Linked DNA regions of Sus scrofa. The protein of the gene in region 5 interacts with the protein of the main gene of each other region in a biochemical or structural test. Links are inferred from orthologs where the notes say so. Each region holds a gene or a part of one and is shown on either strand. Other genes may lie near its edges.

The links.
Region 1: the proteins of BCL10 (region 5) and IKBKB form a complex in vitro, tested with the Homo sapiens proteins (2 studies listed by BioGRID, with this or other methods). The link is inferred for Sus scrofa from reciprocal best matches to the Homo sapiens genes BCL10 and IKBKB.
Region 2: the proteins of BCL10 (region 5) and IKBKG form a complex in vitro, tested with the Homo sapiens proteins (3 studies listed by BioGRID). The link is inferred for Sus scrofa from reciprocal best matches to the Homo sapiens genes BCL10 and IKBKG.
Region 3: the proteins of BCL10 (region 5) and CARD11 form a complex in vitro, tested with the Homo sapiens proteins (2 studies listed by BioGRID, with this or other methods). The link is inferred for Sus scrofa from reciprocal best matches to the Homo sapiens genes BCL10 and CARD11.
Region 4: the proteins of BCL10 (region 5) and CARD9 form a complex in vitro, tested with the Homo sapiens proteins (2 studies listed by BioGRID). The link is inferred for Sus scrofa from reciprocal best matches to the Homo sapiens genes BCL10 and CARD9.

The regions. Positions count from the first base shown.
Region 1 is NC_010459.5:11,338,470-11,342,796, forward strand, and holds part of IKBKB (inhibitor of nuclear factor kappa-B kinase subunit beta), read left to right. Parts: intron 1-14; coding exon 15-162; intron 163-3,093; coding exon 3,094-3,221; intron 3,222-4,327.
Region 2 is NC_010461.5:125,047,691-125,051,710, forward strand, and holds part of IKBKG (NF-kappa-B essential modulator), read left to right. Parts: coding exon 1-38; intron 39-788; coding exon 789-907; intron 908-2,807; coding exon 2,808-2,960; intron 2,961-4,020. UniProt on the Homo sapiens protein: Regulatory subunit of the IKK core complex which phosphorylates inhibitors of NF-kappa-B thus leading to the dissociation of the inhibitor/NF-kappa-B complex and ultimately the degradation of the inhibitor.
Region 3 is NC_010445.4:2,147,464-2,151,640, forward strand, and holds part of CARD11 (caspase recruitment domain-containing protein 11), read right to left. Parts: intron 3,466-4,177; coding exon 3,350-3,465; intron 1-3,349. UniProt on the Homo sapiens protein: Adapter protein that plays a key role in adaptive immune response by transducing the activation of NF-kappa-B downstream of T-cell receptor (TCR) and B-cell receptor (BCR) engagement.
Region 4 is NW_018084833.1:1,345,808-1,349,344, reverse strand, and holds part of CARD9 (caspase recruitment domain-containing protein 9), read right to left. Parts: intron 3,533-3,537; coding exon 3,228-3,532; intron 3,150-3,227; coding exon 2,970-3,149; intron 2,885-2,969; coding exon 2,741-2,884; intron 2,542-2,740; coding exon 2,416-2,541; intron 934-2,415; coding exon 742-933; intron 424-741; coding exon 382-423; intron 162-381; coding exon 113-161; exon of another isoform or gene 1-112. UniProt on the Homo sapiens protein: Adapter protein that plays a key role in innate immune response against fungi by forming signaling complexes downstream of C-type lectin receptors.
Region 5 is NC_010446.5:130,643,673-130,648,456, reverse strand, and holds the start of BCL10 (B-cell lymphoma/leukemia 10), read right to left. Parts: upstream 3,031-4,784; 5' UTR 3,016-3,030; coding exon 2,959-3,015; intron 1-2,958. UniProt on the Homo sapiens protein: Plays a key role in both adaptive and innate immune signaling by bridging CARD domain-containing proteins to immune activation.

The DNA.
Region 1 (4,327 bases), on a different chromosome or scaffold from region 5:
TTTGTCCCTCACAGTAAGACGGTGGTTTGCAAGCAGAAGGCCCTGGAGCTGCTGCCCAGGGTGGAGGAGGTAGTGAGTCTCATGAACGAGGACGAGAAGACCGTGGTTCGGCTTCAGGAGAAGCGGCAGAAGGAGCTCTGGAACCTCCTGAAGATCGCTTGTGTGAGTCCCTGGTGGCCAGGCTGGTGCCCCCGTCCCCAGCCTGTGAGGGGGACCGTGGGTACCCCCCAGACTCAGCCACTGCAGCTCAGTTTCCACTTTTCTGCCCCAGGACTTGGCGGGAACAGGGCAGGGTAGGGTGAGGGTTATTGTTCATAGTGTGGCTGCTGTGACACTCACCATAGCCATTCTTAAGACTTGGAGGTTGGAAGTCCAAGGTTAAGGTGTGGGCAGGGCTGGGCTCCCTCAGGAGGCTACAGGGAAGAACCTTGTCTCTTCTTAGATTCCAGTGGCTCCCGGCATCCTTGGCTTGTGGCTGCACCTCTCCAGTCTTTGCCTCTGTTCTCCACTTGTCTCTCTCTCTGTGTCTCTTTCTCTCTTATCCTTTTGGCCCAGTCCATGGCATGTGGAAGTTCCCAGGCCGGGGATCGAACCTGAGCCACAGCAGTGACAATTCCAAATCCTTAACTGCTAAGCTACTAGGAACTGCACCTGTGTGTCTATTATAAGAACATATCACCAAAGTTCCCACTGTGGCTGAGTTAAGCATCCAACTGCAGCAGCTCAGGTTGCTGGGGAGGCAGGGGTTCTAGCCCTGGCCTGGCGCAGTGGGTTAAAGGATCCAACGTTGCTGCAGCTCAGATTCAAACCCTGGTCTAGGAACATCCATGTGCCTTGGGTGTAGCCATTAAAAAAAAAAAAAAAAAGAACCACTTGTCACTGGATTTAGGCCACTAGATAGTCCAGGGTGATCTCATCCTAGGATCTTTAACCTCATCTGCAAACATCCCTTTTCCAAATGAGGTCACATGCTCAGGTTCCTGGAGATCCGCATGCAGCCCCCACAGTGCATGTCAAGGGTCCCCTTCCTGTCCATGCCATACAGCACTGCAGCCCGTACTTCCTGGGCCCATGGCCTTAACATAGCTGTGATCCCACTGAATGTTGCTCTGAGAGCCCAGGACAGGGAAGGGGGAAGAGCCGGGAAGACCCATGTTTCTGGACCAGAGCTGGAGGGACGAACCCACGGTGCAGGCACCAGCTGTGGGGGTGCTGAGGAAGTTGACAGTGGAGTGACTTAGTCATCAGTCGGGGAGTGTGGCTGCTGAAGGCGGAAGCAGGACACAAGGACAGGGCTTTTGAGGATCATGGTGACGGAGCATATCTGCAGGCCAGGCAAAAGGAGACGGCGTCCTGGGGGTGTGTGTGTGGCGGGGGGGTGTTCCCAGCGTCACAGAGATGGGAGCAAGTCCCCAGTCTGAGGACAGTGGGAGGTCAGCGTCAGGAGCAGGAGCAGAAGGGGGGTGGGTGACATCTCCTGTAACGAGGAGAGACAGCCAAGAAGAGAGGTGAGGAGGCAGAGGTGAAGAGGCCAGGTCGAGGTGCTGAGGTGCTGACCTGATCCGCCAGCTGCGTCCACTAGACACTTATTGAGCACTGACGCCATGCCCGGCAGGGTGCTGAGAGCTGGAGATGCAGGAGGGAAAAGGCGTGGTGTTCAGCCCAGGGAGCTCACAGTCTGGTGAGGGGCATGCCGGGAATGAACGAGAACAGTCTGGAGCAGGCATGGTAAGCAGGAACCATGGCGTGAAGGCCAGGGGGTCAAGGGAGCGCCAGGACAGGTCGCCTGGAGAGGAAGCCAAGGGAGGCAGGTGAACGGCCAGGTGGGGATGCAACGTTAGAGGCCTGGAGGTGAGAGTGGCATGTCGGGTGGGGGTGGGGGGGTCTCACTGGGGATGAAATTAGAGAGGTCAGGAGAGCTGGCTTTGCGGCCACACTTTATTTTGAAGGCACAGGGGAAACATAGCAGGACTTAATTTCTCTTTTTGTTTGGAGGGAAGTTAAGAGTGGGAATATGTGATCCCCTTTGGTTTTTAGAGAAATTACTCTGAGAGTTCCCTTGTGGTGCAATGGGTTGAAGATCCAGCGTTGTCACTGCAGCAGCTTGGGTCACTCATCTGGCTTGGGTTCAATCCCTGGGGGCCAAGAACTTCCAGGAGGGGCAATGATAATAATCACAATAATAGAAAAATTACTCTGGTGGCAGCTGGAGGCTCTCCCTGAGAGAAGGGGCCTCTCCTGCCGTCCTCATGGAACATGATGGTCCTGGGAGGAGGGGGGTGACCTCCATCACAGTCTCAGACCCAGAGCAGGAGTTGGGGGGATGGACAGACAGCTGGGTCTCCACGGGAGATGATCAGTGAGGAAGACATGGCAGAAGGGCAAAGAGCGAGGTGAAACTGGGTGTTTGAATGGCTGGGTGAACTTGGCCCTGGATGTTCGGTTGGCTCAGAGCATGTGGAGCTGGATAGGTCCCCAGAATAAGAGCCTGAGGGGGAGGGAGGAACGATGGGCCAGTGGGAAGCTCCTGGGGCCAACAGAGGAAGTTTGCTGGAGCTTGGAGAGGGACCGGGGTGAGGCGGCAGAAGGTGCTGAGAAGGTTGCAGAGGTCACAGGTCATGTCGGGACTGCAGGTGTGAGAGGTGTAGGAGCTGTTGGTGGAAGGCCTTGGCTCTGAGATGGAGCTGCCACAGCCTGGGCGCCTGGCTTTCCTCCTATCCCATGGATGAGGCGAGTTACAGAAAGTCGCTTGGGATCTTTATGTGTCTGTCTTCTACGTGGAAAGAGTAAACACACCTTCTTTCTAGCTTCCTTGTAAGAGTTTATCAAGCAATCAAACTGATGAAAAACAGGGCCTGCAAATACAAGCCCTCAACAGGGAGACCCTTTTATCCAGAAGTGCACATGTGGGTCCAGAAACATTTGCTGGACTGAAACGCAAGCCCTCAGATAGTGATGGTGACCCGTCTCCTCCAGGAAGGGCCTGTGTCTTGAGGCCAGTCATCGTGAGAAAATACCCTGGCATGGATGCAAGATTTGAGTCATCCCCTTGTTCCGAAACCGTGCAGCTTCCTTTCTGGTTTTGTCCTCTAGAGCAAGGTCCGTGGTCCTGTCAGCGGAAGCCCGGACAGCATGAATGCCTCTCGCCTGAGTCACCCCAGCCAGCTGATGTCGCAGCCCTGCCCTGCCCCCGACAGTTTACCTGAGGCCATCAAGAAAAGGTAGGTCCCCAGAGTTCCTGTGGTTGGCTTAGTGGTAACTAACTTGACTAGTATCCATGAGGATGAGGGTTCGATCCCTGGCCTCACTCAGTGGGTTAAGGATCCGGCATTGCCGTGTGGGTCACAGATGTGGCTTGGATCTGGTTTCGCTGTGACTGTGGTATAGGCTGGCAGCTGTAGCTCCGCTTCAACCCTTAGCTTGGGAATTTACAAATGGCGTGGGTGGGAAAAAGAAAAAAGAAAAGGTAGGTCCCCCTTAGCCGTGGGATGAGCAGCAGGTATGGGTGTGTCCAGAGGTCGTGAGAATGGAAGTGCATGTTTCTCAGACAGGCCATGTCACCCATCAGCGACTCTGCTCCTTGGTGTTTTGTTCCATGTGTTGGGTGCTGTGGGGGCAGATGTGTTTTGCTCTCAGATCCCCTCTTGACTTGCTGGCTAAAGTTTTCCTGTCTTTGGAGTTCCCACTGTGATGCAGTGGACTCAGGATCTGACTGCAGTGGCTGGGGTTGCTGGTGTTCAGTCCCTGGCCTGGCACAGTGGGTTAGGGATCCAGTGTTCCTACAGCTGTGGTGTAAGATGCAGCGGTGGCTCAGATTCAGTTCCTGGCCCAGGAACTTCCATATGCCACGGGTGTGGCCATTTAAAAAATTCTCCCTGTCTGAAGGTTGGGTTGCTCATTGCTGAATGGGCGTATGGAAAGTGCTGGTCAGTCCCATGGTGTCCTCTGTTCCATCCATCATGGTCGGCTCTCTGGCCGTGCCCTGTGCCCCAAGGCATCGCACCTCCCCCTCCCACCCCATCTCCACTTTGAGTCACAAGTCACAGATCCCTCCCTGCCCTGCCCATTGCATGCACTCCTGCCAGAAGTGGGAGCAGCACCAAAGCCCATACGGTGAGGTTTTCCTCCCTGCTTCCTATCTCTTGTGCTGCCTCCAGGCCCTCTTTCATCAAATCAGTCTTCACAGAAGACTGTTTTGACCAAGTTATTCCTATTTGGTAACCGGTCAGGGTGTCCCACTGCCTCAGGGATCAAGCCTGAGCCTTTTCAGACCTTCCCAGACCCTCTCCAGGCTGATCCCCTGTCCCGGACGGACGCCTTGCTCTGG
Region 2 (4,020 bases), on a different chromosome or scaffold from region 5:
CCCTGCAGGAGGTGGAGCTCCTGAAGACCTGCCAGCAGGTAGCGGGGCGCCGGCCGCCTGCCCTCTCCCCCGGGGGTCCCCAGGAGCACCCTCGGGCGGCCGCACAGAGTCGAGAGAAGCCGTTATCCTCGGGGCTCTGACCAGGGCGGGCGGGGGTGGTGGCAGTGGGCGCCTTAGCCAGCAGGGCCTGCGGACGGGCGTCAGGGCGATCGGCAGGCCGTTGGCTGGCTCAGTGGGGGTTCAGGGTTTGGAAGCCGTTGGCCTGTCCAGGGCAGTGGAAACCTTGAGACCGACCCGATCATCCTCAGGTGCACGCAGATGGGCGTGAAAAGGAGGGGGATGAGTGGCGGGCGGGGTGGGTGGCGCTGCGTGTAGGGGTGGGGGCCTGAGGCTTGACCCTGGGCCTGAGCAGCCTGAGGTCTCGGGCCCAGGGTTTGCACAGCCTTGGGAGGGCGTCTGGGCGGTGGGGAGTTGGAGAACTCTTGAGTTTTGGGGCAGGTGCAGGACTTGTGGGAACAGCGTCACTCCCTCTTACCTGCTAGTGGCCTGGGGCCCGGGGAGCGCGCAGGTTTCTGTCACATGTTTGAGTCTCAGCAAGGTGGGGAGACTCCTGCTGGGCTCAGCCCGCATGGGCAGCTCTGTGCTCCTCTGGCCCCATCCTCAGTGGCCTTGCTGGGGGAGAAGCTTCGAGAGATGAGAGGGAGATGAGTCGGGGTGCCGGGGGCAGGAGAGGAGCCCCGGGGGTGGCCGGTCTCAGTGCTGACGTGGCGTGGCTTCTTCTCGTGCAGCAGATGGCAGAGGACAAGGCCTCAGTGAAAGCCCAGGTGACGTCCTTGCTGGGGGAGCTGCAGGAGAGCCAGAGTCGCTTGGAGGCCGCCACCAAGGAGCGGCAGGCTCTGGAGAGCAGGTGAGCGTGGAGGGAGAGCCCTGCCCGAGGCCGCTGACTTTTTGCCAGAGTTTTGGATGATTCCCGAGGGGCCGTTTGCGGGGTGGGGGGGACGAGTCCACGTGATCACAGTGCCCTCCCGGCCCAGGACCCCCGAGGACGGAAGGCCCAGGGCGGGGGCGGAGCACCCCCTGCCTCTGGCCCCCTCCTCCTTTCCTCCCTTCTCTGGCGGCGACTTGGGCCTCCCTGGAGGCCTGGGGCGCCACTGGAGACTCAGCGCCCTGAGTTTGATGGAGGGCTGGTCATGGCCCAGCACACGCCAAGCCTCCTGACTCCTGGAGGAAAGCAGGTGCTCCCCATAGGCCACCGTGTTGTGCCCACGGTCTAGGCATGGGGACCTCCCTCATCTGGAGGGCGAGTGTCCTGGCAGCGTAGGGGACTCACACCAGCCCTGCTGGCCCCTCTCTTCTGCAGAGGCTGCTTCCTGTAGCTGTGCTCACCGGGTCAAAGGGCACGGGCGTCTCTGTGGTTCTCACGCTGCCCGGTGGCTGCCGTCCAGGGAGACGGGTCCAGGCGGCAGGGCTGGCCGCAGCTCTCCCGGTGCGCTGGGCGCTGCGCCCGGAGGCCCGAGGCGTTTCCCAGCGCGGCGTTTAGACGCCCCGCCATCCTCAGAGCGAGCGGGGAGCCTCCCTCTAGAAAGCAGGCGGCGAGGGCGTGTGTGTGGCAGGGCCGAGCCCGCTGGCCTGGTCGCCTTCCCGGTTCCCCGCCGGGCTCGTCTCTACCCCCACTTCTCTAAGAGGCACGTGTGTCATTTCTAGGACACTGCCACGTGTTTCTTGCCTTTTTTCTGTGCACATAAAAGAGACTGCTGGAGGCGTGACGCTGTCTGCAGTTTTGTGGCTGACTCTGCTCAGTTAATGACCCCGCAGTTGCAGGCTCTGGGCATCTTCCTCTCTTGTCCCCCCACGTGGCTGAGATGGAAATGCTGGCTGGCAGCTCAGGGCAGGGAGCCTGCTTGCGTCTCCCATCGCTCGGTGTGGCCATTTAAACAGATCCAGACTTCGTACATGTGGCGGCCCTTTGAGCGCCAGGCCTGTCACATCAGAACGGCTGTCCTCCTTGTTCTCGGGCCCCTGGCAGACAGCACTTCCGTCTGGCGATGACAATGCCGGCAGCTAAGTTTTGTCGGGTCACAGATGGACATCTGAGTTGGATATAGCTGGCCAGGTGTGGAGATGAGACCAGAGGAGAGGGCCAGGAGCCGCCCCCCACTCAGAACAGCCACTGTCGCCCCCGGGACACAGGATGACGTGGCTGCAGCCTGGAGCTGGGGATGGAGGGAGCTGTGAGCAGACATGAGTGTGGAGATGCGAGGCGGGGCCGTGGGGTGACGGGCCCCCATCAGAGGGTCAGGCCCCTTGGGGGACCCGGGTGAGGAGAGCCGAGCTGTCACAGCTTGAGTGTGGATGGATCCAGGATCTTCTCCCGGGCAGGCAGGTGGGAGGATCTCGCAGATGTAGACGTTTGGGACTCCAGATGGGCCAGCCAGCCACCTCCTTGCCACTGTTAGAGCGGTGGTGGCGGGCGGGGTGGGGGAGCCGTGGAGCCACTGACCCCACTTTCCACCCCCCACCCCCGCCTCACCTCACTTCTCACCTGCGCCCGCCCCACCTTCTAGAAAGGCTGTCTTTGCTGACTGGCTCTACTTCCTTTCCTCCACTGAGATTGCTCTGGCCATGGCCCCCAGCACCCACCTCTCGGAACCCCACGGGCAGGTCCCTGGGGCTTCTTTCCCCTGGGACCCCCTCCTTCACCCCTGGCCCCAGTGCCTTCTGCTGCAGTCTTTCTTGGTGCTGCAGGGTTCCTCGAGCACTTTTGCTCCTGCTGGGGCCCTCCGGTGACCTCCCCTTCCTGCCACCAGGGTTCGCGCCACTAGCGAGCAGGTCCGGCAGCTGGAGAACGAGCGGGAGGCCCTGCAGCAGCAGCACAGCGTGCAGGTGGACCAGCTGCGCCTGCAGAGCCAGAGCATGGAGGCCGCCCTGCGCATGGAGCGCCAGGCCGCCTCGGAGGAGAAGTGAGTGCCGGCTGCGGCGGCCTTTGCCTGCCCGCGTTCAGATCTACCCTCTGGCCCACGTGTTCAAAGCCTCGGGGCCGGGGTCCTGTGTGCCACTTGCATGCCCTTTGAGTCTTCTTTAGTCTAGACCGTCCTTATGCTTTTCCCGATTTTTAATGGAGTTGACTTTTAAAATATATTTTTTATGTTTTTTTTTTGGTCATGTCTATGGCATGCGGAAGTTCCCGGGCTAGGGATCGAACCCAAGCCACAGCAGTGACCTGAGCTGTGACAGTGCCAGTGCCAGATTGTCTTAACCCACTAGGCCATCATGGACGTCTAAAGCTGACTTTTTTTTTTTTTTTTTTTTGTCTTTTTGCCATTTCTTGGACCGCTTCCGCAGCATATGGAGGTTCCCAGGCTAGGGGTCGAATCGGAGCTGTAGCTGCCGGCCTGCACCACAGCCACAGCAACGCGGGATCCGAGCTGCATCTCGACCCACACCACAGCTCACGGCAGTGCCGGATCCTTTAACCCATTGAACAAGGCCAGGGATCGAACCCGCAGCCTCGTGGTTCCTAGTTGGATTCGTTAACCACTGAGCCACGACAGGAACTCCAGGAACTCCTATTTTTAATTTTTATTAAAAAATGTTTCTGGTGGCTCAGTGGGTTAAGGATCCAGTGTTATCACTGCTGTGGCTCAGGTTGCTGCTGTGGTGCAGGTTTGATCCCTGGCCCAGGAACTTCCACATGCCACAGGTATGGCCAAAAAAAAAAAAAAAAAAAAGTTTCTTTTGGCCGTGTCGTGGCAAGGGGCAGTTCCCAGGCCAGGGATTGATGCCAGTGCCGCATCCTTAACGCAGTAGGGCCACCAGGGAACTCCGAGGACAGCTGTATCTTATTATAAGTGTTTCTTCTGATGCTTTAAAAAATGCTACATTGAAGAAAAGTGATGTCAACGAGTTGGCAAAGCTTGCCTCGCGGCTGACTGACGGCCTCTGAGGCGCAGAGCCCTCCCTGGAAGGCACATTGTGTAGTGCGGAGACGGTGAGAAGGCAGAGGCTGCAGGTGGAAGCAGT
Region 3 (4,177 bases), on a different chromosome or scaffold from region 5:
ACCTAAATCTGCCTGAGGCTCATTACCACTTCGCAGAGCCTTGCAACTGGGAGTTGGCTGTGCCACCTTCTGGCAGATCCTTGCTACTGGCAAGAGTGCAGCAACCAGGCACTGACCACTAGCCTTACCTATTGCCTCCTTCTCCCTGGAAACACATTCAGCACCCTATCAAGGGGATAACAGCCTGCTCACACTGAAGAAAGAGACAGCAAATATCCAAACCCCCATGCCAAAAATAAATAGTAACACCCCACAAAATACAAAGGGGTGCTCTTACATAGAAAGACCTTCAAGACTACAGTAGTTCGTTTCCCTAAACTCACAGGAAAAGAAAAATATAAGCAAAACGAAGAAGCTTGGGAACCATTCCCAGTTAAAAGAACAGGAGAATTTACCTGAAGCAGCAGACAATGAAAGAGACCTCTGCAGTCTAATAGGCACTGAGTTCAAAAGGGAGATAGTGGAAATACTGAAGGAATTAAGGGTGAGTATGAAGGAATTAAGAGCAGATATAAACAGTACTTTAGAAAGGAGCTAGAAAATATAAGGAGGGACCAAGAAAAATTAGAAAATTCATTTGCAGAGATGAAAACCAAGCTAAAGGCACTAAAGGGCAGAATGAATAATGCAGAGGAACGAATTGGTGACTTGGAAGATAGCATAATAGAAATCACTCAATCAGGACAGCAGACAGAAAACCAAATGAAAAAACATGAAAGCAATATAAGAGATCTATGGGTTAATACAAAGCAAGCCAATCTAGGCATAATAGGGATTCCAGGAGGAGAAGAAAAAGAAAAGGGGATTGAAAATATATTTGAAGAAATTATGGCTGAAAAGTTTCCAAATCTAAAAGAAACAGATATCAAGATACGGGAAGCACAGAGGGCCCCAAACAAGTTGAACCCAAAAAGGCCCACACCAAGACATATTATAATAAAAGTGACAAAAGTTAAAGAGAGGATTGATTCTAAAGGCAGCAAGAGAAAAACAAAGTGTTAATTGTAAGGGAACCCCCCCTAAGGCTGTCAGCTGATTTCTCTACAGAAACACTACAGGCCAGAAGAGAGTGGCAAGATATATTCAAAGTTCTGAAAGGGAAAAACCTGCAGCCTAGAATACTCTATCCAGCAAGACTATCATTGAAAATAGAAGGAGAAATAAAGAATTTTTCCAACAAACAAAAGCTAAAAGAGTACAGCAATACTAAACCCATTCTAAAAGAAATACTGAAAGGGCTTCTCTAAATAAAAAAGAAGTAACAAGAAACAGGATGGAGGAAATCACTCTTGGGAAGGAATTCCTTATATAAGCCAGTATACAGACCCAAAAGGAAAAACAAACCAAAAAAACCCTACTGTAAAAGTGACAGTAAACATAAGGAACAGCAAAAGGACAAAAGGGAGGATGTTAAAAAAGGACTTCGACATCCCCGAATGTGGGGAAGGAAAGTAAGGAAATCTAGACTTTTTTTTTAAGGGTGCACCTGCGGCATATGGAGGTTCCCAGGCTAGGGGTCGAATCAGAGTTGCAGCCACCAGCCTACACCACAGCCACAGCCATGTCAGATCCGAGCCGCGTCTGCGAACTACACCCCAGCTCACGGCAATGCGAGATCCTTAACCCACAGAACGAGGCCAGGGATCAAACCTGCCTCCTCATGGATGCTAGTCAGATTTGTTTCTGTTGAGCCACAATGGGAACTCCATAGACTCTTTTTTAATAATGTGTTTGAGCCCATATAGGACTATCAGGCTAAAAAGCAGATATAGAAAGGGGTTAACATACTTGAAAAACAGGGCAACCACAAATCAAAACCAACTATTACTTTCTGCCCCCCCAAAAAAAATTGAGACATGTCCCCGCCCCCCGGCCCCGTTTTGGCCACACCCATGCCATAGGATGTTCCCAGGCCAGGAATCAAACCCAAGCCACAGCAATGACAACACCAGATCCTTAACCTACTGTGCCACCAGCGAACTCCTAAAACTGTCTTTTTAATTTAATTTTCTTAAATCTCTCTCTCTCTCTCTTTTTTTTAAGGGCCACATGCACAGCATATGGAGGTTCCCAGGCTAGGGATTGAATTGGAGCTACAGCTGCTGGCCTGCACCACAGCCACAGCAATACCAGATCCGAGCCACATCCGCGACCTACACCATAGCTCACAGCAATGCTGGATATCCTTAACCCACTGAGGGAGGCCAGGAACTGAGCCCACACTTTCTGGGAGACCAGTCAGGTTCTTAACCTGCTGAGCCACAACGGGAGCTCCTCTATGTTTAATTTTTGAGGAGCCTCCATGCTGTTCTCCATACAGCTGCATCCTTTTATATCTCCCACCCCACTGCAGTGTGCAAGGGCTCCAACTTCTCCCCGTCTGGGCCCACCTGTGTCAGTTTCTGGTGTTTGTGCAGCAGCTATTCTGATGCATGTGAGGCGATGAGGTAGGGACTCTGGTCTCATTGACTTATGGTTCCCTAAGCCTGGCACCTAATGGGAAACCCTGGGGGAAGAATGGAGTGGCCTGGCCACCCTCAGTCTCAGCTGCAGCTGGTGTGAGGAGAGGTGGGGACCAGAGACGCCACCACGTGACAGGCAGGCCCCCAATCATGTGACAGGCAGGCCCCCCACCTCGGCATCATCCTGATTTCCTCCTTCTATTAAATCCCACAGCTGACCCCTCCCCCAATCGCACAGGCTTGACCTTGATGGATCCAGGATCGGACTTTCCTCATTGCTCACCAGATGGGACCCAGTCCCGCATCATGGTCCTTTGTCCAGGTTGTCGCCATGCCCGTCTTGGCACAGCAGCCAGTGGGCCTTGCCATCCCACGTTAGATTATGTCATTCCTCAAAACCACCAGTAGCTCTGTCTCACTCAGGAGATGTCACACTGTCCTATGGCCCACATGGGCTGGCGTGGTTGGACCCCACTTGGCTACAAAGTCCCTTCTCATGGCTCTGCCCACACTGGCCTCCTCCAGCTGTCCCACCTCTGGGTCTGGGCGCCTGCTGTGCCCTCTGCACCCGCCCGACCTGGCCTCACTGTAGTGGGTCTGTGCCAACATCAGCTTCCTGGACCACCTGGGTCCTGCGGCGCCCACCTGGCTCTCCTGGCACGCATCCTCCTGGACACCTTCCACCTACGTGTATGTTACTGTCTCTGCTGCTGGAGGTCAGGGCCATGTCCCTGGACTGGGGACAGACACTTGATAAGGATTCACTAAAGAGGTGAGCGGGGCTGGGGGGAACCCAAGCAGCCAGCTGTTCTTGGTGGGACCACAGAGGCTTGGTGGGGTGGGGGTGGAGGTGGTACTTTAAGGCCCTGGGGGTCCTGGAGACCTACCTGAACTTCTTAATGTTCTTCTCTGACACGCGGATGAAGAGCACGATGGGGTAGATGCGGGACTTGATCAGGTCTCGGGTGCAGCTGATCCCAGCCTCCAGCAGACAGTGCTTGTTCTGCAAGCCCAGGGGACAGAGGTCAGCAGGGCCCATGCCACCTCTGCCAGGCTGGGTGCCTGGGGAGGGGCCCGCGGTGCAGGATGCGAGAGCCCCGAGTGCCCCAGATGGACCCCAACCTCTGAGACACATGGCCCTGCTCATTTAGACCCCTCGCTCCCTCTGCCACGCGCAGGGATGGGCACTGCCAGAGCCCCAGTCCCCAGCCTGGGGTGAATCAGCTGGCATGAACGAGTCTTAATAAAAAGCAAAGACAGCGAGAGAACACCTGCTACTCTGTTCTGCCTACAGATGCGCTCTTGGTACTAGATGGGGTGGAAAATGCTTGGGAGGTGAGGTGGGCTGGCTGTCCCCGGGGGGGTGTAAGGGTTCTCAAGCATGACTCCCTGGTGCCCATGAGCTCATCATTTCTGAAAATGATCCCTGTTTTGCTGCAGGTGCCACTTCAAAAAAAAAAAAAAAAAACCCACAAAAACAAAAACACCTTTGCACTGAAACAGAACAAGAATACCGAAACGTACACATGCTCCTAAGCTTGTAGCTCAGAAGACTTGTCACAAACTGAATGTGCTGGTGGGATGAGCACCCAGGGCCAGAGGCAGAGGTGGCCCTGGTCCTCCGGGTCACTGCTTCCCTGTCTCACCAGTGTAGCCACTACCGGAATTCTAACAGCAAAGATTCTTGGACAGTATCACCTTTGCACCTAAAACCT
Region 4 (3,537 bases), on a different chromosome or scaffold from region 5:
TGTCCTGGGGCAGCCGCGTCCTCGGTTGTGTGATGAAGGTCAGGGTGGGCGCCAACTTGAGCAGATCAAGAGGCTCTGGCCAGGTTCCTCGCCAGACGGCTCCCCGCCTCACCTCTGTCTGAGAGCTGGGCGTCCTCCTCCAGGTCCCGCGGGAGCGAGAGCTTCCCAGGAGAGATGGGCACCCGGTTACACCAGCACCCCCCACCGCACGGCCGAGCCCTCTGTGTGCCCCTCCCCGTCACTGCCCCACCCCCGGCCCCGGTGCAAGCTTCTCAGGGGCCCGCGCTGCTCTGCCCAGCACCGGGAGGGTGGCTGGCGGAGGTTGAGGCCCGGAGCCCCGCGCGAGGCCGGCCCTGGGCTGACCCCCGGGGCCATACTCACCTCCTGGGAGCTCCGGGGAGAGCTGTCCTCCAGGTCAGAGCTCTGGGGTCACAGAAGAGGCGTCAGTCAGCAGGCTTGCGGGGGTGGGCGTGGAGAAGGGTCCCAGACCAGCCCACCCTCCAGGGAGGCCCCTGGCCAGAGCCCCTCTCTGTCCCCATCACAGCACCCAGAGCAGCCTGCCAGGCCCTGAGCCCACCAGCAGGAGGGAGGTGGCTCAGGAAGGGCTGGGGACCGGCGGCTCCTCCTCGGGCCTCTGCGGTCTCTAGGGACACACCTGCCCCAGAGTGGACACAGCCCCGGGCCCCACGGAGGCACAGGCGTGGCTCTGACCGAGGGTCCCCCGACCCCAGGGAGGCCCACCAGGACAGGTGTATCCAGCTGCTGCCGCCTGAGCCTGTCCTCCAGAGCCAGCAGCTGGCCCTCGCGCTGGAACAGCTGGAGCTGCAGCTCGTCCACCTTCTCGCTCAGCTCGCGGACCTGCTTCCGCAGCACGTCCTTCTCCTGCAGGCTGCGGGCCTGCTGCGCGTGCAGCTCCTCCCGCGTCACGATGGCCTGTGGGGCGGCAGCGCAGGGCGGGGCAGGCGGTGGGGACCCCGCAAGCGCAGCACAGGCCGCCCCATCTCTAGCCGTGTTCCCGCGAGGAGGGCGGGCGGGGGGCCGGCACTGGCTTCTTCCTCTGTCCTCAAGCACGTCCTTCGTGTTTGGGGTCGTAAACGTGATACAGGCGCGTGACAGAACGCGTGTATGTTCAGAAAATCTACAGACAATGACCCTCAGGACTAGCCCCTGCCAACCGCTCCCTGGCACGCTCGGCACACGCTCGCCTCCCCACACGCGGGGGTCACACACCCTGGGTGGGGCTTGAGCTCAGGAGCACGACGGTTGACGGCTGTGGGATTTAACCACCTCTCTCATCGCACCCCCACGCCCCTGGTCACCCGAGGACAAGCCAGTCTCGTCTCCAGCCGCAATTCACGGAGCCCAACCACATCCCCTGTGTCAGGCGACCCCAAACGGCCAGGGCTTGATCTGTTTTGCGGCCGCACCTGCGGCATACGGAGGTTCCCAGGCCAGAGGATGAATCCGAGCTGCATCTGCCGGCCTTCGCCACAGCCACAGCTACGCTGCAGGGATCGAACCCGCGTCCTCATGGATCCTAGCTGGATTCACCACTGCTGCGCCACGACGGGCACTCCCAAGGCCTGATTAGTCAGAGCACTGCCTTCATTTCTGTGCATGCTGCCAGCTTAGGACCAAACAGACCCCCCACCCTGACTCACCTGGGCGGCCAGGCCCCAGCCTCCCCAGGCCGAGGGCCTCCCGGGCCCAGCCACAGCCCTGCACTCCCTGCGGTGGGTGGGGGCACCTCCTGTCTGCTGAGCTGCCCATTTCCAGGTGCCGCCCCCGATCTCACTGTGTCCATGGCCTTGAGATAAGAACCCACCTACCGGGCTTTCAGCACGGCTGTGGTTCCCATGAGAGAGGCTTCTAGAAGCGGATTGCTGGGCTAAAAGGAATCTGCGTTTTAAGGCTCCTGACACCAAGTGACAGTCACCCTCCAGAAAGCGACTGGAACATCGGCTGTGACCGATTAGAAAGGAGAGCGATGGGGCAGGGAGCAGACGCCACCCTGCGCCGGGCATGCTCCCGCACACAAGAGGGCAGCCCACACAGGCGCCACGGCTTCTTAAGCTAAAAAACCATTTGCAAAACAAGTCAGAAAACTCCCATTCTTGTAGAGCGAAGAAGAAACGGCAAGTACAGCGGAAGGTGGCGCGGGGATTAGCGTCCTCAGCATTCTCAGTTTATTTTTGGCCGCGGCTGCGGGCAGTGCCCGGGCCAGGGACCAAGCCCATGCCGCAGCATCCACCTGAGCCATGGCAGTGGCAACGCTGGGTCTTTAACCTGCTGCCGCGCCACCGGGGAACGTCTCTCCTTCTTCGGCGAGAACCGTGTGTAAAGCGTGACCTGCTTGCGTTGTGTAAAGCCTGTTTGACCGCCGCCTCCCCGGAGGGGCTCTGCCCTGACCGCTACCTGGTCCCGCTCGACGGCGACCTCCTCCATCTGCCGCAGGATGGCCTCGATGCGGTCCTTGTACATCTTGGAGTCCTTCCGAAGGGCCAGGCACTGCAGCTCGAACACCTCCTTCTCCTCCAGGCACTGCGGGGGCGAGACGGCAGCTAACCCCGCCGCCCGCAGCCCCGCCAACCCCGGCCCGGGGCCCGGACCCTGGACCCAGCCTGGGGAGCACGCGCTCGGGGCGGGGCCGGCCGGCCAGCCGGGCCTCGCCTGCAGGAAGGGGCCGGGAGGGACGCAGCGCTGAGAGGCCAGCCCACCTCCCCCACCGCGGGCCGCGTACCCGGGCGCGCTGGGCCTCGGCCTGGCGCAGGTCCTTGCGCAGGGAGAACACGGTGCGGGTCTGCTCCTGGAGGTCCCGCTGCGCCTGCCGCCAGTCCTCCTCCAGCACCTGGATGTAGGGGCTGCTCTGGTCCGGCCGCCCCTCCTGTGGCGCCAAGGGAGAGGGTGGCGGGGCGGCGGGGCTGGAGGCCCCCCGCCCGGCTGCGCTGTGCTCGCCCCGCTGGCCCCACCTGCACGGAGGCCTCCAGGCCCTGCACCCGGGCCTGCAGCAGCGCCTTCTCCTGCTGCAGCTCCCACAGCAGCTCCTGGCTGGGCCGCTGCTCCATGGCGTGCCGGAGCTTCAGCGTGTGCTTGCGCTCCACCGAGCAGTCGTCCTCGGCCTTCATGAGGCTGTGCTTGAGCCGATCGATCTGCGGGGCCGCCCGTCAGCCCAGCCCGGGGGCCCGCCGCCCGCCCGCCGCCCGCCCGGCCGCCCCGCCGCCAGGCACCTCCAGCTGCAGGTCTCGGTTGCGCATGAGCGCGGTGCCCCTCTCCTCGCTCTGACGGGCCAGGCGCAGGGCCAGGTCGTAGTTCTCGTCCTTGCAGCGCTGGAGCTCGCGGCCGCCGGCCTCGCAGGCCTCCTTGAGCCTCTGCGCGCGCTCCTGGTGCTTGCGCAGCAGGCCGTCCTTCACGCGCAGCTCCTTGATGAGGTCGTCCTTGGAGCCCAGCAGCGCCGTCAGGTCCTGCGCCTTCTTCTGCAGCTTCATCACCTCGCTCATCAGCAGCTGCGTCAGGCCGGACTCCCCAGACGCGTCTGCG
Region 5 (4,784 bases):
TTTACAGACGATTGGGAGAAACAAAAACGGGTCAAAGGAGACATGAGAAGACTGCTGAACTCTCTTACCCAGGATGTGCTGAGTGCGAGAATTTAAGCTGTGGGGATAACAAATGAGAAACACAGACTTAAAAAGACCGTCTCCTTGGAAAAGCTCAACTGCTGCAATTTCCAACCCCTGTGCGTGGATGACTCCTGAAAATGCCTATGATCAAGACTCTCTCCACCTAGAGATGCCGGCAGTACTTCAAACTCAACACGCCCCAAGCCGCATCTGCGTCCCCATCCTTTTCCTCGGACGCTCTCGGCTCCCCTGGGAGGGCCGCCATCCGTCCAGACGCGCGATACACCCCGACAACTCGTCCTGGGCTTTTCCCCTTTCACTCGCTTGCCACACTGGATCACCCTTCCTCCAAGTCCCACCAGTCCGCCCTCGACACTTCTCTCATCTGCCCCCTCTCCCTCCCGAGCCCTAGCACCGTCCTAGTTCTGGTCCCCTGTACTCTGCCTGGACTGCTAACAAGACACCTCGCTGTACCTCTTCCTTCTCTCCCCACAGCCCTCAAATTCCTCCCCACACATCATCAGACGTCTCATTGCTCAAGAAAAAAAAATGGAAATCTGGAGTGTGAGATGAATTCTACTAAGATTGAAATGCTGTTAATTTTTAAAAAATGTGAAACACTGTGTTCCACCGCAACTTAAAGGATAAAGTTTCTCACATGGCAGAATAGTGGAGAAGTTAAGAGCACGGCTCTGGACCCAGGCCCACCTCAGTGCAAATCCTGCATCTGCCACGATCTCCTGTGGGAGCTGGGCAAGCTCCTCAGCCTCTCTAGCTTCAGATTCCCCACTGGTCATCACCAATAAATACACGGCACGATCCCTGGGAGGACTAACTGGACAGCGCTTACCAGGGACTTGCCCATCCACGGGATTTTTTTTTTGCCTTTTTAGGGTATCACCTGAGGCGTATGGAAGTTCCCAGGCTAGGGTCAAATCTGCACTGTAGCTCCTGGCCTACACCACGGCAACACCAAATCCGAGTCTCATCTGCAACCTGCACCACACCTCACGGCAACGCCGGATCCTTAATCCACTGAGTGAGGAAAGGGATGGAACCTGCGTCCTCATGGATACTAGTCAGGTGTGTTACCGCTGAGCCATGACGGGAACTCCATCCATGGATTTTAGTATCAGCGGCCAGTCCTCCATAGTTACAGAGGGATGATTGTATATTCTTCAAGAGAGAAAACAGCAGAAACAACAAGCAGCTTTGAGGGAGGGATGATAAAATGATCAACCTTAGACAAGGTGAGGAATCTGAAGGATATCAAACTGGATTTCCCGCAACTATTTGGAAATAAGCACTTAGATTTGGGAAAGAAGGCAGGCCAAATATATGTATGATAATTTTAAACCTTCTAAGGTCATAAACCATTTCCATCACGTGAAAAAATGTTCTAAGAAAAAAATGAGCAGCTCTATTTTTTTCACAGCTGTCCTGAAACCGGTGCATGATTCCCCAAGGTTATGAATTTCAGAGCTGGCTGTGCACTGAAATCTTGGAGATGGAGAATGTCAATGAGCTGACGGCAAAAAATACAGGCCTGGCAGTCACCCTTCACATCTGTGTTTGTGTGCGGGTTTTGGAACCTCCCACTTGCAACCTCTCACTACCTGTTTTGTCAACTGTAAAATGGAAAAGACAGCGATCCCCCTCAGAGGCTGGTGTACAGATGACGCTAGAACACTGTAAACCGTGCGATGCAGCACCTGCCTCCTGAAGTTCATGCTTTTACTGGCACAAATCCTGAACAGCACAACACTCATTCTTTAGTAGTTACCAACATCCGAGTTCTGACGGGAATGGGAAGCAGGGACCTGTCATTTTTGGGTATCTTTCCAGGCCGAGGAACAGTGCTTTCCATCTAGTGAGCGCCCCAGAATTATCTGCTGAAGGAGGAAATTAAGGCACAAGCCCTACTCTTAACCAGAGTCCTTCTGCTAATGAGTCACACCGACTCTGCATTATGGGTACAGTGTGATAAACCTCACAGGTGAGGGAAAAGGAAGCACAGGAACATTTAAAAAGCTGCTTCCTGTCCACTTCACAAAGGTGGTTTTGTACAGCACTGCGGCGCTAAGCGAGAACACAGTTCATGTTGATTTTTAAAATGTGAATTAATACAAAGTATTTTAATGGTACTCATACAAGTCTCACAAAGCAAAACAAACAACTAAGAGCAAAGGGTAAGAGAAACAAGTCACTCTTGGTGAATAAATATTAAGATTTGTACATTTCTGCAGCATCCAAGCAGCGGAGCATAACGCAGCTACCGAATGTTTCCAGCGTTCACCTGTAAATAAATTCTCGGCCTTCGGGCCCCGGCCCCCGTCCCCTCCCCCTCGCCCCTCCGATTTAAATACGTGGGCGTTTGCTTTCTAGGGGAATTCCGACTCGTGCTTTCAGCTGCTGAGCTTCCCTCAACCCCCGCTGCCAAAGTTTCACATATTTGCTCCACTGCTTGGGATGCTTTACCTGGTCCAGCTTTTGCTCCAGGCTGAGAGAGCCAGCAGCCAAGGCTCAGACTCAAGGACGAGCTTGAGTCGCCGACTTCCGACAACGTAGCTCCACCCCTGGAAGCGCCAGAGGATGGGTGGGGAGTGGGCCGGAGGCTGTGAAGGAGCGCTCCACCCAACAAGGTTCCAGAAACCCAAGCCCCGCTTTGATTGATTTAACACGCGAGTTCACAGGTCACCAGGGGTCGGACCGCTTCCACCAGGTCCCCGCGATGCCGGCTCGGCTCCCGCGGCGCCCGGACCTGCCGCTTCTCCCACCGCGCGCTGCTCCCCAGCTGCGGGCCGGGCCGGGCCGGGCCGCCGGGTTTCCGCTCCCGTCGCCCGCAGGCACGCAGCCCGCCCCGCCCGCCCGCCCGGGCCCGGCCGTGCTACTCACGTCCTTCTTCACTTCGGTCAGGTCCTCCTCGGTCAGGGACGGCGCGGCGGGCTCCATGGCGGAGGCGGGGGACGGCGCTCCTTCCGGGTCCGCGCTCGGGCTGCGCCGCCCCGCCCAGGCTGGGGGCTTCGGCCTCCCGAGGAGGGGTGGGGAGGGGAGGCGGAGAGGGTGGGGGGACGGCTACCTCCTCGAAAACAGGGGGACCGAGGGTCAAACAAGCGCTTCCGGCTCTGCCTCCGGGCCGACGGCGGCGCAGACCTACGCGTCTAGACGCCGAGCTCCGGGCTCGGCTCCTGCGCGCTCGCGGAGGCCGGGGCGCAGGACCGCCCCTCTGGGAGGCCGGCCCTCGGAGAGCCCGTCCCGTCTCTCCGAGAGCCAATCGGAGCCAGCCCGCGGCCGGCCTGGTCCCGCCCCCGGCCGGAGCCCTTCCAGGGTGGCCCCGCCCACGGCCTCCAGGTCGTTTGCATGGGGCGGGGGGAGGCCTCCCGAGAGGATCGTTTCCGTGGGCGGGGCCGGCGCGGCTCGGTCTGTGGGCGGTCGCCGCCCGCGCGGGCGGCTCTGATGCAGCTGGAGCTCTGCTGGTCGGTGCTGCTGTGTTCCTCCCCTTCTCCCAGCCCCTGCCCACCGATTTCCTGTTGCTGTTTGCCCACGCAAGTTTTACAATGGTTTGGTCACACACAGACGCTCGCGCGCGCGCACACGAGACTCATATACAGCCTAACTGCAGTTCATATTGAAGGAATTTCTGAAAGAGAAAAACCGCCTACAATGCCATCACTTTAACACCTCATTTAACCTCTGCATACTTTCTGGTCACTGTTTATGATAAACGTATTTCCTTATTTCTTCATCTGAGGGATGAAGATGTGTCTCTTCTACCTCTCACAGGTGACAATTCAATGACGTGACAGATGTGAGGTTCTTAGAGGTCTGGGCCCACAGTCCGTGCTCAGCTCTTGCTCAAACATTTATTGAGTCCTTCCTACTATATTCTAGACACCCAGTCCCGTAAGAGTTCTCCCATCTTTCTGGGGGAGACTGATGAACAGATACGATTCTCAGAACGGTGCATCCAAAGTAACGAGGGTGATAAGTCCGGAAAGGGCTCAGGGCCCAAGACGATTGTTTGGACAACATGGTAAATAAACTAGAAAGAAAGTATATGGTATTTGGAAGCTAGAGGGTAGATAAAAATGCGGACCAGGGGGCGGAAGACAAATTTGAGGATCCAGAATCCTTTAAAGGAAGGGAAAACAAGAACCAGAAAACAACAATGTTGTCAAGGCCGCATCAATGTATTTTTCCATCACAGGGCAGGGATCTTACTTTTAACATTACATCATGTGTGTTTGTCCATATTCATACACAGTATTTTTTCTGATTGCTTAATCTTCCGTCATCTTTTTCTAACCCAATTCACTTAACTAGTTGTTCTTTCATTCACAAATATTTGTTGAATGTCAACTATGGGCCAGACACTGTTCTAGGTGCTGGGGAAATAGCTATGAACGAAATAGTTAAAAATTCCTTTCCTCCTGGAGTTTAAATTCGTGTGTGTGTGTGTGTGTGTGTGTGTGTGTGTGTGTGTGTTTGGGGCAGGGCAGACAGACATTTGAAAAATGTTATGTAAATTATTTATTACGTTAGAAGATGATAAATACGCAGAAAATATAAAACGGGGCAGCAGGTTGAGGGGGTATGGCATGGTGAGTGAAGACCTGTTGAGAAGGGGATTTGGGTCGCACTTGAAGGGGCTGAAGGAAAGAGCCATGTGGACAAGCAGAGGGAGCAGCCAGGGGAAAAAAGCAGGGGGACGGGAGGCCAAG